4 linked regions of the Oryctolagus cuniculus genome follow. The protein of the gene in region 2 interacts with the protein of the main gene of each other region in a pairwise test. Links are inferred from orthologs where the notes say so. Each region holds a gene or a part of one and is shown on either strand. Other genes may lie near its edges.

What was found.
Region 1: the proteins of ZXDC (region 2) and POGZ interact in binary tests that used the Homo sapiens proteins (3 or more experiments, as listed by UniProt). The link is inferred for Oryctolagus cuniculus from reciprocal best matches to the Homo sapiens genes ZXDC and POGZ.
Region 3: the proteins of ZXDC (region 2) and ATXN1 interact in binary tests that used the Homo sapiens proteins (3 or more experiments, as listed by UniProt). The link is inferred for Oryctolagus cuniculus from reciprocal best matches to the Homo sapiens genes ZXDC and ATXN1.
Region 4: the proteins of ZXDC (region 2) and WDR5 interact in binary tests that used the Homo sapiens proteins (3 or more experiments, as listed by UniProt). The link is inferred for Oryctolagus cuniculus from reciprocal best matches to the Homo sapiens genes ZXDC and WDR5.

What each region holds. Positions count from the first base shown.
Region 1 is NC_091438.1:46,684,521-46,688,082, forward strand, and holds part of POGZ (pogo transposable element with ZNF domain), read left to right. Parts: intron 1-117; coding exon 118-1,786; 3' UTR 1,787-1,801; exon of another isoform or gene 1,802-2,408; 3' UTR 2,409-3,562. UniProt on the Homo sapiens protein: Plays a role in mitotic cell cycle progression and is involved in kinetochore assembly and mitotic sister chromatid cohesion.
Region 2 is NC_091441.1:109,539,705-109,543,760, forward strand, and holds the start of ZXDC (zinc finger protein ZXDC), read right to left. Parts: upstream 2,849-4,056; 5' UTR 2,677-2,848; coding exon 1,725-2,676; intron 1-1,724. UniProt on the Homo sapiens protein: Cooperates with CIITA to promote transcription of MHC class I and MHC class II genes.
Region 3 is NC_091436.1:143,620,382-143,623,943, forward strand, and holds part of ATXN1 (ataxin-1), read right to left. Parts: coding exon 3,176-3,562; intron 1-3,175. UniProt on the Homo sapiens protein: Chromatin-binding factor that repress Notch signaling in the absence of Notch intracellular domain by acting as a CBF1 corepressor. Binds to the HEY promoter and might assist, along with NCOR2, RBPJ-mediated repression. Binds RNA in vitro.
Region 4 is NC_091432.1:235,830,754-235,834,315, reverse strand, and holds part of WDR5 (WD repeat-containing protein 5), read right to left. Parts: intron 3,526-3,562; 5' UTR 3,439-3,525; coding exon 3,358-3,438; intron 2,055-3,357; coding exon 1,946-2,054; intron 1,820-1,945; coding exon 1,746-1,819; intron 648-1,745; coding exon 558-647; intron 482-557; coding exon 392-481; intron 1-391.

The sequences.
Region 1 (3,562 bases), on a different chromosome or scaffold from region 2:
CAAGCTCTCACTTCATGATTTCCCATTTGGCAGTGTGTTTACATTATTACCACCGCTACCTGGACCCTTTTTCACGGAGCTTTCTCGTCTGCTTGCTCCCCGCTCCTGCCCCTTTAGGCATGGCCAGACTCGTGACCGAGTGCATGACCGGAACTTGAAGAACATGTACCCTCCTGCTTCCTTCCCCCCTCACAAAGCCGCCACTGTGAAATCTGCGGGGGCCGCCCCAGCTGAGCCTGAAGAGCTCCCGCCTCCCGTGACCCAGGCACTCCCCTCGCCAGCCTCCACTGCAACCCCGCCCCAGACCCCTGCCCACCCACAGCCTTTAGTCCTCCCACCCTTGGCCACAGAGGGGGCCGAATGTCTGAATGTCGATGACCAGGAAGAAGGGAGCCCGAGCACCCAGGACCCTGAGCCCGCATCAGGTGGTGGTGGCAGTGGGGTAAGCAAGAAGGAGCAGCTGTCTGTGAAGAAGCTTCGGGTAGTACTGTTTGCCCTGTGCTGCAACACGGAACAGGCAGCCGAACACTTCCGAAACCCCCAGCGACGTATCCGGCGCTGGCTTCGGCGCTTCCAGGCCTCTCAGGGGGAGAACCTAGAGGGCAAGTACCTGAGCTTTGAGGCCGAGGAGAAACTGGCTGAGTGGGTGCTGACCCAGCGAGAGCAGCAGCTGCCTGTGAATGAGGAGACCTTGTTCCAAAAGGCCACCAAGATAGGACGTTCTCTGGAGGGGGGCTTTAAGATCTCATACGAGTGGGCCGTGCGCTTCATGCTGCGACACCACCTGACTCCGCACGCCCGGCGGGCCGTGGCCCACACCCTCCCTAAGGACGTGGCCGAGAACGCCGGGCTCTTCATAGAGTTCGTACAGCGGCAGATCCACAACCAAGACCTGCCCTTGTCTATGATCGTGGCCATCGATGAGATCTCCCTGTTCCTGGACACGGAGGTGCTGAGCAGCGACGACAGGAAGGAGAACGCCCTGCAGACGGTGGGCACGGGGGAGCCCTGGTGCGACGTCGTGCTGGCCATTCTGGCCGACGGCACCGTCCTCCCCACCCTGGTGTTCTACCGAGGACAGATGGACCAGCCTGCTAACGTGCCAGACTCCATACTGCTGGAGGCAAAGGAGAGTGGCTACAGTGACGACGAGATCATGGAGCTGTGGTCCACCCGCGTGTGGCAGAAGCACACGGCCTGCCAGCGCAGCAAAGGCATGCTCGTGATGGACTGCCATCGCACTCACTTGTCGGAGGAGGTCCTGGCCATGCTTAGTGCCTCCAGCACTCTGCCTGCGGTGGTCCCAGCAGGCTGTAGCTCCAAAATCCAGCCACTAGACGTATGCATCAAGCGAACTGTCAAGAACTTCCTGCACAAAAAGTGGAAGGAACAGGCTAGGGAAATGGCAGACACTGCATGTGATTCTGACGTGCTGCTCCAGCTGGTGCTGGTCTGGCTGGGGGAGGTGCTGAGCGTCATAGGGGACTGCCCCGAGCTGGTGCAGCGGTCCTTCCTGGTGGCCAGCGTGCTGCCAGGCCCCGACGGCAACGTCAGCTCCCCCACGAGAAACGCAGACATGCAGGAGGAGCTCATCGCCTCCCTGGAGGAGCAGCTGAAGCTGAGCGGAGAGCAGTCCGAGGAGCCGTCCGCCTCCACGCCCCGGCCCAGGGCGTCTCCTCAAGAGACAGTTGAGCCCGAGAGCCTGCACCAGCTGTTTGAGGGCGAGAGTGAGACCGAGTCTTTCTATGGCTTTGAAGAAGCTGACCTCGATCTGATGGAGATTTGAGTGCTGGGTCACGAGGCATGTGGAGTAGGGGTGGGAAAGCGAGGGAGGGTGGCGGGACTTGGGAAAGGGGACATACCAGGTGGGGTATTTGGTCTATATTTTTTAATTTTATGCCACCACTCCCCAACATTGACTGACAACTTCCCTGTGAATTTGTGGATTAGGAAAACCAATAGTGATCACGTCTGAGCCGAGGAGCTGGCCCATTGGTCATTCAATTCTGCTAAAAACAGGTTTTTGTGACTTTTTTTTAAATTTAAATCACTGTGTTTGGTATTTTTCTGACAAAATCAAGAAAAAGACAAAAAAATCCTTTGTGGGCGAATGTTAAATTGTTTTGTTTCCCCTCTTACCTCAATTGTATCATAGTACTTCTAGAGTTTTTGTTTGTTTTACTGTGTGGCCGACGTCTTTGGGCATGATGCTATCTAACCATTGTCAGTGTGAGAACATTTCTGATGATGAGAAAGACAAAAATATGTAGCTCAAAAACTGGTTTATTATATATATGGATAAACTTTTTTCATTGTGGTCTTAACACTTTTATATAAAAATGAAAATGGAAAAAAAATCCCACTGAACTCTCGCTCTTCCTTCTCCTTTTCTTGCCTTCCCTCTCCAGAGATGTTGGTTTCTACATCAACCCTAGATATGAAATTGTGGCTTTAAAAAAATGCATGAAACCACCTCTGAGCATCCAGAACGATGAATAATTTGTCTTTCCCTCACCATGCTCCTTCCGACAAAAGCAGTATTCTTTGCACTCGCCCCTTCCCCCATTCTCGCCCCCCTCCATCACTCTGGACAAAGGACCATACATGTATCATTAGTGAGCAGGAGGTGCTGAGGTGATCAGAGCGCATGCTAGGGTGCGAGCCATGCCCAGTTTGAGCCTTCATCCTGCAAGCCCCGGGCAGTACCGGCCTTGGTGAGCTTCAGCCTGGGACGTGGACAGGTCCTACAGCCAGGAGCTAATTGCATAAAAAGCGAAGTGTCGACTCTACACAGGAAAGAAAGCCCACTTGTGGACGTTCTGCGTACCCTGTGGCCTTCCCCTATTTTTCTCTTACCACTTAAAGAACCTGACCTGAGAAACAGCACGGAGTGTGCACGGAGAAAAAGACATGAATATTTTTCACTGCCAGCTTCAAGGGAAGAAAATTTTTTCTACAATTTGCATGAGGGATTTTTTTTTAAAGAATTGTATGTATTCGTGGATACAAACCAAAATGTACTGCACCAGAGAAAAGGAGTGCGCAGCACGCCCCCTGTCCCGCAGCTACGCCGCGCACCTGTCCGTCCTGAGGCGGCAGCAGCATCCCCCTCTTGGGAGCCGAGGAGGCAGGCTGCAGGAGCTTCTAAATGCCTCATCTTTAAATGTACGTAAGTGGAACATTTAATAAAATGAGGGGAAATGGATTTATAAGCTTTGTTTTTCTAGGTAGCCCTGTTCAAGGTAGGCTTTCACAGACTGGGAGATGTCGAGAGGGGACAGGCGCGGTGGCGCAGGCTGACACTCTGCCCACTCCTGCCAGTGTTTTTGTTTTTGACCCCCAGTACACTATAATATAGTGAACTGGAGCATCCCCGCAGCACGGCCAGCGTTTGTCATCTGAAGACGACCAAGGATCCATCTGGGCTTCTCATCCCCAGCTTTTTGCCTGATGCCATTTTACTGACAGACTGTGGACTTCCAAGTCAACCCTTTGCCTCGGAGAAAGTTCAAGAACTACGGTCACATCTATCTACAGCAACTTAATCCTCCTCTGGTAGTCT
Region 2 (4,056 bases):
CGCTCACGGCTGAAAACCAGCCACAACCCCGCCACGCCGTGCCCGCCGGGGTGGGGGTGGGGGGGCGTCTCAGAAGTTTCCCTCTGTGACAGCCACAGCAGGGCAGCTGCGAAGAGGCCGGGGTGGGGGTGGGGGGGGTGTCTCAGAAGTTTCCCTCTGTGACAGCCACAGCAGGGCAGCTGCGAAGAGGCCGGGGTGGGGGTGGGGGGGTGTCTCAGAAGTTTCCCTCTGTGACAGCCACAGCAGGGCAGCTGCGAAGAGGCGACAGGCACACCTACGACCTGGAGACGGAACGCCGGGTCACGAGACAGTCCCCCAGTGACCGTCATCCGCCGGCTAGTTCTGCAGCTCCACGCCCTTCTGCGTCCCTTCCACAACCTCAGGCGACAAGGCTGCTCGTGTGGGACCCAAGGAAACCCCGAGAGATGTTAACTAAGGAGCATGACTTTGTCTGGTGGGGGCAGACTCCGAAGGCCCACACATGCACGACCCCCCCCCCCCCCATCCTCTGCAACCGCAGCCCCTCCTCCGCCTCTGGCTTCTCAGGATCTGTTTGTCCACTTCCGCGGGGCTCCCTGCTCTCTCCATCTGCTCAACCCTCGGCCCCCAGCTGAGCCCCCAGCCCGAGCAAGCTCCTCGTCCCCGGTGCCCAGACTGCCACCCAGCACTTCTCCCGTGACACAGCACCCGGAGATCAGACAGGGTGGGCGTCCGAGGCGGCACAACGTTTAACAGGTGCCTCTGCTGCGGCTCTTCTCAGAGCCCTGAACGAGCTGTCGCCACACTGTGAAGACAGCGCGTGGACCAAGGAACCCGACGTTCCCAGCGACAACAACCGGGAAATGCGGTTCTCTGTTAACACCCTAAGTTCCCGCACTTCGGCCTCAATCAGGAGCCCACCCTCCCAACAGTTCCCAACTGGTAAGGTACACCTGGACCCGACTCTCCCTTCCTCACCGAGACCGCTCCCCAGATCAGTAGCCGTGCCCTCTGATGCTCCCTCTGCAGTCCCCTGCGGGAAGCCCCTCCCCACTCCCCTGCCATACCCTGGCTCAAGCCCTCAGCTAGCTCAGATCTGGGCCACTGCAAGGCGCCACACCGGTCCCTCTCCCACCTCTCCCAAAGCTCACCTGTCAGCCAACACAAAACACGGGGCCCACCTGGAGGCACCGGGTCCCTGACCTGCCCTGCCCTACACCCGGCGGGAGGTCCCAGCCACCATCAGATTCCCGTAAGAGAGGCAGGCTCTGAGCCAGTGTGTTCTCCCCAGAGGGGAGACAGTCCACAGGCCGGAACACCAGGGCCGCTGTAAACCTTGACAGAGGATCACTTTTTAAAACTCTGCTAAACCGGCACGCCCAAATGAAATCAAGATACAAAAGGCACAAAACCGGGGCCGCGCCACGCCGGTGGGGCACGGCCCTGAGGGTCTGAGGTCTGGGCTGTGGTCCCTGCATCTTCTCACTCTCACTAACCGGAGGCAGCCCAAGCGAGCATCCGTTGCCGCCCCCGCCGGGGAGACCAGCTGGGACTATTGCGCACAGCAACCCTGTCCGGGTCTCACATCCAATCACCCAGCACATACCAGGCAGGGCACGCACAAACACACCGGAAGGCACCTGTTCCCGGCCCTCGGTCCCCAGCCCCAAGCAGGGGAGTCTGGCACCTTGGGGCGGCCGCCTGGGACCCCCGCCCGCCCCCGCCAGCCCGTGGCGCGCCGTTACCGGGAAAATCACACTTGTACGGGCGCTCGGGCTCGAAGTGGCTGCGCTGGTGGGAGCTGAGCTTGGCGTGCGTGGGGAAGCGCTCACAGCACACCTCGCACTTGAACAGGCTTTCCTGCTCGTGGCCCTTCATGTGCGCCTTGAGGTTGTAGACGGTGGTGAACTTCTTGCCGCAGCCGCCCACCGGGCAGCCGAAGGGCCGCAGCTTATCGTGCGACTGAAGGTGCCGCTTGAGCTTGTACGAGGTGGTGAAGGCCCAGCCGCAGCCGTCCAGCGGGCACTTGAAGGGCCGCCGGCCCTGGAGGCCGCTGTGCGTCAGCAGGTGCACCTTGAGCTGGTGCTTCTTGGCGAAGGCCAGCGCGCACTGCGGCTCGGGGCAGCGGTAGCCCGGTGCGCCGGGGCCGGCGCCCGCGGTCCCACGGCGATTCTCGGCGGGGTGCGCGGTCGCCGTGCCGGGCGGCGCGGGCGGACGGTGCGGCGGCGGCGGCGGCTCCGGCCCCGGCGCGGGCGGCGGCGCGGGCGCCAGCGTGAAGACCCCGTTGTCGAAGCGCACCAGCAGGTCCTGGTTGTTGATGGTGACGGTGCCCGCGAGGGCGGCGCCGGGGGCGGCGGCCGCACCGCCGAGGCCCTGCTCGGGTCCTCCGGCGGAGCTGGGGGCGGGCTCGGCCTCCCGCCGCTCGGGAGTCTCGGCGGCGGTGGTGCCGCGCGCCACCTCCAGCAGCACCACGAAGGAGTCGCCGCCGTCCTCGGCTGGCGGCGGGCTCGGCCCGGGGGCCTCCCCGTGCCGCGGCCCAGGACCGCCATCTTCAGGGCTCCGCAGCAGCAGCAGGCGGCGGCGCGCGGGGCCCGAGCCGAGCGGAGGCCCCGGGCCTCGGCGGAGCCTGCCGGGATCGCCGCCGCCATGTTGGGTTCTGCGCGCGGCCGGGGCGGGGAGCAGCACCGGGAGGTCCATCTTCGGCCCGGCAGCGGCGTCTCAGCAGCCGCTGGAGAAGAGCTGGCAGCCCCGCCCGAGCGTGCGCGCGACGCCGTGCGGCCGCCCCTGAGCTGGTGGTCGCCAAGGGCCGGCGCGGAACCCGCCCCCGGGCCGGAGCCGCGCGTGCGCGAGAGCCGCGGGGTGGCGCGCGAGGGCTGCCGGGGCCCACGTGACGGGGGCGGGGCGTGGGGCGGGGCTTCGGCGGGGCGGGGCGCGGCAGGCAGATGCGCAAGCTCGGTGGGCTGAGGTCTAGTTCCCCGCGTGGAACACGAGGCTCACCCGCTTTGAATCGGATCTGGTAGTGGGACCCAAGAGGGACACCAATACACACCATCCAGGCGATGTACCCTGGTTAACTCACACGCTAGCCGATTCAGTCTGCGCTCGCAGGTGTGAGAATCCAGGCACAGGTGGGGTTTGGTGCCCAGGGTCACACGGCCAGGCGCTGCAAATATACCCAAGAGAAATGAAATCTTGGGGTAAATGTCCATAGCTGCATTATTATTTTTTTAAGATTTGTTTATTTGTTTGAAAGGCAGAGTTAACAGAGAGGGAGAGACAAAGAGATTTTTCCATCCGTTGGGTCACTCCCCAGATGGCCACAATGGCCAGGGATGGGCCAGGCCGGAGCCAAGAGCCTGGAATTCCATCCGGGTATCCCACGTGGGTGCCAGAGCTCCAAGCACTTGGGCCTTCTGCTGCTGCTTTCCCAGGCACGTTAGCAGGGAGCTGGATCGAAAGTGGAGCAGCTGGGACTTGAACCTGCGCCCATATGGGATTCTGGCATCACATCCGGCTGTGCTACAACACCAGCTCCAGCAGTGTTATTTTTAATAACCAACAGTGACGAAAACGTGGTCTCTCCCTACAGCACAATGTGCTTCAGCCATAAGAAGGAATAAAGTACTGACACATGGTCCAAGATGGATCAACCTTGAAAACAGTGTGCTGGGGCCAGCGCTGTGGCATAGGAGGCTAACTCTGCCTGCAGTGCTGGCATCCATATGGGCATCGGTTCAAGTCCCCGCTGCCCCAATTCCAATCCTGCTCTCTGCTATGGCCTGGGAAAGCAGTAGAAAATGGTCCAAGTGCTTGGGCCCCTGCACCCATGTGGGAAACCTGGAAGAAGCTCCTGGCCCCTGGCTTCAGATTGGCACAGCTCTGGCCGTTGTGGCCAGGTGGGGAGTGAACCAGCAAATGGCAAACCTTTCCCTCTGTGTTTTAAAAGTCAATGCGCCAGCGCCATGGCTCAATAGGCTAATCCTCTGCTTTGCAGCGCCAGCACACCGGGTTCTAGTCCTGGTTGGGGTGCCAGATTCTGTCCTGGTTACCCCTCTTCCAGGCCAGCTCTCTGCTGTA
Region 3 (3,562 bases), on a different chromosome or scaffold from region 2:
AGTTAACCAACGATGGAAGATCTCTCTCTCTCTCTCTCTCTATATATATATATATATATACACACACACATAGACATATATAGAGATATACATGTGTATCCACCCCATCTCGCCCCATAACTCTGCCTCTCAGATAAATAAATAAATCTTTAAAAAATTCATGGAAATGCATACTATGAATCTATGCACAGATTTCAAATTTTGGGGGCACCAAAATACACTTATCTTTTACATCCCGTTTTCCACAAGCCTTCTGAAGTCTGCTCAGATCCTTCCCCTCCTGGCACCAAAGAGAGCTGTGGGGCTCCAGAACCTCAGCAGCCAAGGCCTGGGATGGGCAGCCCCAGCTCAAGGCTCCGTCAAGTCCCAAGTGGAGAGGCACTGCTAGGAACCAGCTGCACTGCACAACAAATTCCCCTTCCCCACCTGTCTGCTTGCCATCGTGCTGCAAGGATTAAAGGCACCATGAAGAATGCATTTCCTTCTCACTCTTGGTGATTTTCCATGGTTCACCTGGGGTCTGTCATGAGAGAACCCCGCTCTAGGTTACCCATTTTCTCTGTACTAGGACTCACCCCTACATCCCGTAGGAAGTACACAGCAAGTACAGGTGGGTAGGGAGTTCTGAATAATTAGGCCCTTTTTTAAAATCCTATGTTTTCTTCTTATTTTTAAAAGGCAGAGTGACACTGAGAGAGAAAAGGAGAAGGAGAGGAAGAGGTACAGACTGACACAGGGAGCCATGGACCATCCACTAGTTCATTCCCTGAACGTCTGCAATGGGGTTGGGCCAGGCTGAAGCTGGGAACTCCACCTGGGGTCTCTCACGTGCGTGGCAGGGGTCCAAGCACTTGGGCCCTCTTTTGTTGCTTTCCCAGGCACACTAGTAGGGAGCTGGATCAGAACTGGTACAACCAGGACTTGAACTGGCACTCTGAAATGGGAAGGTGGCACTGCAGCTGGCGGCCTAACACTGCACCACAACACTGGCCCTGTTCTTTTTATTATTATCATCATCATCGTCAGAATTCTGAAGAATTCTTTCTTGAACCTTTCCAAAGACTGTAGGCTACAGTGATATCTCACCCTTAAGAAAGGGGCTAATCAGATCAGCGCCGGCTGCGGCAGCCATTAGAGGGTGAACCAACAGCAAAGGAAGACCTTTCTCTCTGTCTCTCTCACTGTCCACTCTGCCTGTCAAAAAAAAAAAAGGGGGGGGGGGAGAAAAGAAAGGAAAGGGGCTAAAGGACCCTCAACAGGGCAGGCTGCCTAACAGCGGACAGCCCGTGCTTCTCACAGTTCTGGAAAACACTTGGGGAAGCTGGTCTATGCCCTCCCTCATTTGATCTTTGAAAAAATATTCAAAGCAATTCTGGGGCCACCCACGTGGAAGGCCTGGATGGAGTTCCTGGCTCCTGGCTTCAGCCTGGCCCAGCCCCTGCTTTTGCGGGCATTTGGGGAGTGAATTATGAGATAGAAAATCTTTCTCTGTGTCTCTTCCTCTATCTGTGCTGCTCTTTCAAATAAATAAATAAATCTTTAAACCTAACTAAATAAAAATACTCAAAGCCATTCAAACTCTACTCAGTTTTTATGTTATTTTTTTCTTTGAATGTCCCAAATATCAGTTTTTTCCCCAACTGTTTTCAACCCACGCCAGCAGGAGGCACTGTCATTTCTGAGTGTCCTATAGTCCTGGGTGGACAACATATCCAGAGCGGAGGTTCCACAGGCACGGAACTTCCCAGCTGGGGACCAAGTCTGTTTGGTTCCCAGAAACTTGGGCGGTGAAACTGCTGATTCACAAAAATGGGCTATGCAAGTGACTTGAGAGATGACAAAAGGGTTGGCTGAAGGAGCCCGTGGAAATCAAGAGTGAATCACCCGTCCAGTTTCTAACATCTCTCAGCAAGGCTGCAACTGGCTTTACCGGGGCTGAGGAAGTCAGCTGGACACAGCCCTGGCTTCAGCCTGGTATTTTCTGATGCCTTAACATCTTGGGACCTTGCTAAGCCCAGGGGGCCTGCCTCCCCTGGGACTAGTTTATTCCTAGACACAGCCAGCAACTCACCCGGCAGCGTGTTTTTCATAAGCAAATCGACCGATGCCACCACCTCCTATGTTGCTTCCGTCATGCCCAGGGCCACTAAGCCACTTGCCCCCACCACCACAGGGACAGCTCCCTCACAGCAGGGCCAGCCCCCAGCGGTCCCAGAGCCACTGAAGCTACTCATGCCAGCCAATCCTAAGCCTGCTCTCCTGGCTCGCCTACTCCCTCCCCCGGAAATGGCACAATTGCCGACGTTCGCCTCCTGCTCGCCTTGCTTCCTGGCATGGCCATCTCCCCGCTCCTGCGATCTGGATGTACAACAAGCCTCCCTTTCAACAAGTGTCATCTCTGTGACCGGCCCTGCCATTCCTCTATTTTGAACATGGACGTGGTGGCTTCTGCCTGCGATGTCCTCGCCCAGACAAGCAGCTCCGTCTTCTCCTAATAGGGACAAGTGCAGGATGACTGCTAGAAAAGCCTGCAGCCCCGCAGCCTTGCTCAGCCAGGGCTCCTCAACAGAACCACAGAACGCAAATGATGTCGAGAGTTGTGATCTCTTAATTCTCCCCAGGATGGGATCATCCCTACTCTCAGAGGCAGCGCGCTTCATTGCTTGCAAACAACAGATACCAGGGGCAGGCAGGGCTTAACTTCCTTGAGGACACAGTTGGGAAAGGCCTGCTCTACAGTCTAGGCAGAAATGAGACTCCTCAACTCTGCCTCGCAGAAGCAACTCTTAGGGCCCGAGTTGTGGTGCAATAGTTGAAGCCGCCACCTGCATCCCATATCAGGACACCGACTGGAGGCCTGGCTGCTCCACTTTGGATCCAGCTCCCTGCTAACATGCCTGGGAAAGCAGCAGAAGATGGTCCAAGTACCCAGGCCCCTGCCACCCATGTGGGAGACCTGGATGGAGCTCCTGGCCCAGCCCTGGCTGTTGTGGCCATCTGGGAAATGAACCAGCAGACGGAAGCTCTCTTTCTCTGTCACAGTGCCTTTCAAATAAATATAAAAGAAAACCTTTTAAAAATAATAATTAAAAAAAAGAAGCCACTCCCGTTGCCCAGAGACGGCGACGCGGCGTGGTGGGGTGCGCCCCCTACCTGTGCAGCAGGTGAACGTTACCTGCGCTCGGTGCTCCCCCACTGCGAACTGGATCACAGCCACGCCCGGGCTGTGGCTGTCCTCGATCCTCTCCACAGTGCTCGAGTCGATCTTCAGGTCGTTGCTGATCTCCGCGCTCTGAATGAAGTCTTCCGTTTTCAAGTCCTCCACCTTCTTCAGCTCCCCGTTGGCCAACTGGATGATGGAACCTTTCATGAAGTAGGGGGGCAGCGTGGGCGGAGCCGCCGCGGGGGACGCCACCGACTGCACCACAGGCAGGTGGATCTGGGCCTGCACCATGGCCGGGTAGGCGGCCGGGGTGGCCAGGGCCTCGGGGCTGAAGTTCTCGCTCTTGGGGAGGGCAGTAGTGACGAAGGTGTGAGGGGGCACTGTAGCAAACTGGGGCGA
Region 4 (3,562 bases), on a different chromosome or scaffold from region 2:
CCCCGCCCCGCACTCACGGAGCCCCGCCCCGCCCCCGCGCAGCCCCGCCCCGCACTCACGGAGCCCCGCCCCGCCCCCCCCCCCCGCGCAGCCCGCCCCGCCCCGCACTCACGGAGCCCCGCCCCGCCCCCCCCCCCCGCGCAGCCCGCCCCGCCCCGCACTCACGGAGCCCCGCCCCGCCCCCGCGCAGCCCCGCCCCGCACTCACGGAGCCCCGCCCCGCCCCGCACTCACGGAGCCCCGCCCCGCACTCACGGAGCCCTGCCCCGCCCCCGCGCAGCCCCGCCCCGCACTCACGGAGCCCCGCCCCACCCCGCCCCCCGCGCAGCCCCGCCCCACACTCACGGAGCCCCGCCCCGCCCCGCCCCCGCGCAGCCCCGCCCCGCACTCACGGAGCCCGACACGATGAGGTTGGACTGCGGGTTGAAGTTGCAGCAGAAGACGTAGTTGCTGTGGCCCTTCAAGGTCTTCAGGCACTTGCCCTGCAACAAAGCCCCTCAGACTCCGGCGGGCGGGGCCGGGACCACCCCCAGGGCCCCGCGGGCGCGCGCGGCTCACCGAGCTCACGTCCCAGATCTTCAAGGTCTTATCGTCGGAGGCAGAGACGAGGAGGTTGGAATCTGAGGACCAGGCCACGTCGGATATTCCCTGGGGGAGACCACGGTGAGCTCCGGCAGCGACAGAGCTCGGCCCAGAGCCGACCCCCGAGAGGCCGGGGCGCTGTGACCCCGAGAGGCCGGGGCGCTGTGACCCCGAGAGGCCGGGGCGCTGTGACCCCGAGAGGCCGGGGCGCTGTGACCCCAGAGAGGCCGGGGGCGCTGTGACCCCCCCCCCGAGAGGCCACGGGGCGCTGTGACCCCCGAGAGGCCCGGGCGCTGTGACCCACCCCCCCGAGAGGCCAGGGCGCTGTGACCCCCCCCCCGAGAGGCCCCGGGGCGCTGTGACCCCCGAGAGGCCCAGGCGCTGTGACCCCGAGAGGCCCCGGGGCGCTGTGACCCCCGAGAGGCCCGGGCGCTGTGACCCCCCCCCCGAGAGGCCGGGGCGCTGTGACCCCGAGAGGCCGGGAGCTGTGACCCCGCGAAAGGCCCGGGCGCTGTGACCCCCCCCCCGAGAGGCCACGGGGCGCTGTGACCCCCGAGAGGCCCGGGCGCTGTGACCCACCCCCCCGAGAGGCCGGGGCGCTGTGACCCCCCCCCCGAGAGGCCCAGGCGCTGTGACCCCGAGAGGCCCCGCGGCGCTGTGACCCCCGAGAGGCCCAGGCACTGTGACCCCGAGAGGCCGGGGCGCTGTGACCCCCCCCCCGAGAGGCCCCGGGGCGCTGTGACCCCCGAGAGGCCCCGGGCGCTGTGACCCCGAGAGGCCCCGGGGCGCTGTGACACCCCCCCGAGAGGCCCCGGGGCGCTGTGACCCCCGAGAGGCCCAGGCGCTGTGACCCCGAGAGGCCGGGGCGCTGTGACCCCCCCCCCCGAGAGGCCCCGGGGCGCTGTGACCCCCGAGAGGCCCGGGCACTGTGACCCCGCGAGAGGCCGGGGCGCTGTGACCCCCGAGAGGCCCCGGGTGCTGTGACCCCGCGAGAGGCCCGGGCACTGTGACCCCGGGAGAGGCCGGGGCGCTGTGACCCCCGAGAGGCCCGGGCGCTGTGCCTGCCGGCGGGGGCCAGTGTGGGCACAGGGAGAGCGCGGCGGAACACGCGGGGGGCCCTTCCCCCGCCAGGCCTCCTCCAGCCCCGCTCCCGGGGACACCCACCAGCTTGTGGCCCGAGATGGTCTTCTCAAACTTCCCGTCGTATGCGCCCCAGATTTTAATGAGTTTATCAGCAGCTGAAAGAAAGAGGGAGGCGGGGCTGGGGCTCAGGGAGCATGGTCGCTCGGCCACCCACTGCCTGGGCTTCCCGGACCCCAGCGCGGGGAGATCGCCCCCCCACCCGCCCCGCCCGCGGCACCTACAGGAGCTGGCCAGCCACTCGCCGTTGGGGCTGAATTTCACGGAGGACACGGCTTTCGTGTGGCCGGCCAGGGTGAATTTCAGGGCGTAGTTGGGCTTCACAGGCGTGGGCTGTTGGAGAGAAGGCAGAGGTCCCACTAGCAGAAGCCCCCCCCCCCAGCTAGCAGCCACGTGGACCCCAGCTGAAGGCCGGCGCAGCCCCCCTAGGCCAGGCGCCTGCTGGAGACTCTACCCGGAGCCACCCTGCAACCCGAGGTCACGGTTCCCCCCAGAGGCCCCTCTGATGTGACCACCCCAGCCCCCCCAGCCCCACTGATGCAACACCCCCCACCCCCCCAACCCCCCCAGCCCCTCTGATGTGACCACCCCAGCCCCCCCAGCCCCGCTGACACAACCACCCCCACCCCCCCAGCCCCGCTAACGCAACCACCCCCACCCCCCCAACCCCTCTGATGTGACCACCCCCAACCCCCCCAACCCCTCTGATGTGACCACCCCCAACCCCCCCAGCCCCTCTGATGTGACCACCCCAGACCCCCAGCCCCGCTGACACAACCACCCCCACCCCCCCAGCCCCCCCAGCCCCGCTGACACAACCACCCCCACCCCCCCAACCCCCCCAGCCCCTCTGATGCGACCACCCCCACCTCCCCCACCCCCCCAGCCCCTCTGATGCGACCACCTCCACCCCCAACCCACCCACCCCAACCCCCCCACGTGGCCCTGCCACGTCCCAGGCCCAGCAGCTCCAGCCTGGTTCAGCTTCCCTGGGCTGCACCTGCAGGCCTGGTACCTTCACCAAAGGCCCCCGCATCCCACCGCCCAGACCAGGGCCCCCATCCCACCGCCCAGACCAGGGCCCACATCCCACCGCCCAGACCAGGGCCCGCATCCCACCGCCCAGACCAGGGCCCGCATCCCACCGCCCAGACCAGGGCCCGCATCCCACCGCCCAGACCAGGGCCCGCATCCCACCGCCCAGACCAGGGCCCGCATCCCACCGCCCAGACCAGGGCCCCCATCCCACCGCCCAGACCAGGGCCCGCATCCCACCGCCCAGACCAGGGCCCGCATCCCACCGCCCAGACCAGGGCCCCCATCCCACCGCCCAGACCAGGGCCCGCATCCCACCGCCCAGACCAGGGCCCCCATCCCACCGCCCAGACCAGGGCCCGCATCCCACCGCCCAGACCAGGGCCCGCATCCCCGCCCAGGGCCTGCTGGGGCCGAGGGCCGAGTTCCGCAGACGGGAGCAGGACCGAGCGCCCGTGTTTTGTACGAAGCTGCCGCGGGCGTTCACCAGGACTGCGGTCACTCGGGGAAGGCGGGCGGCGACATCAGCCCGGCCCTGCAGGCCCAGTCCTAACCTCTGCCGCCCCAGGCCGGGAGGGGGGCAGTGCCGTCAGGTCCCCACCTTGCTCTGAGTGGCGGACGAGGAAGGGGTGGGCTGGGCTCTGGCGGCCTCGGTCTCGGGCTTCTTCTCCTCCGTGGCCATGGCGCTGGCGCCCAGCAGGCGGGACCGCAGGGCAGGAGGCTGCGGCTAACCGAGGTCTACAGTGGGCCTGGGCAGCGCAAACCGTATCTAGACGTTAATTCCCAGGAAAAACGGTACAAAAAGA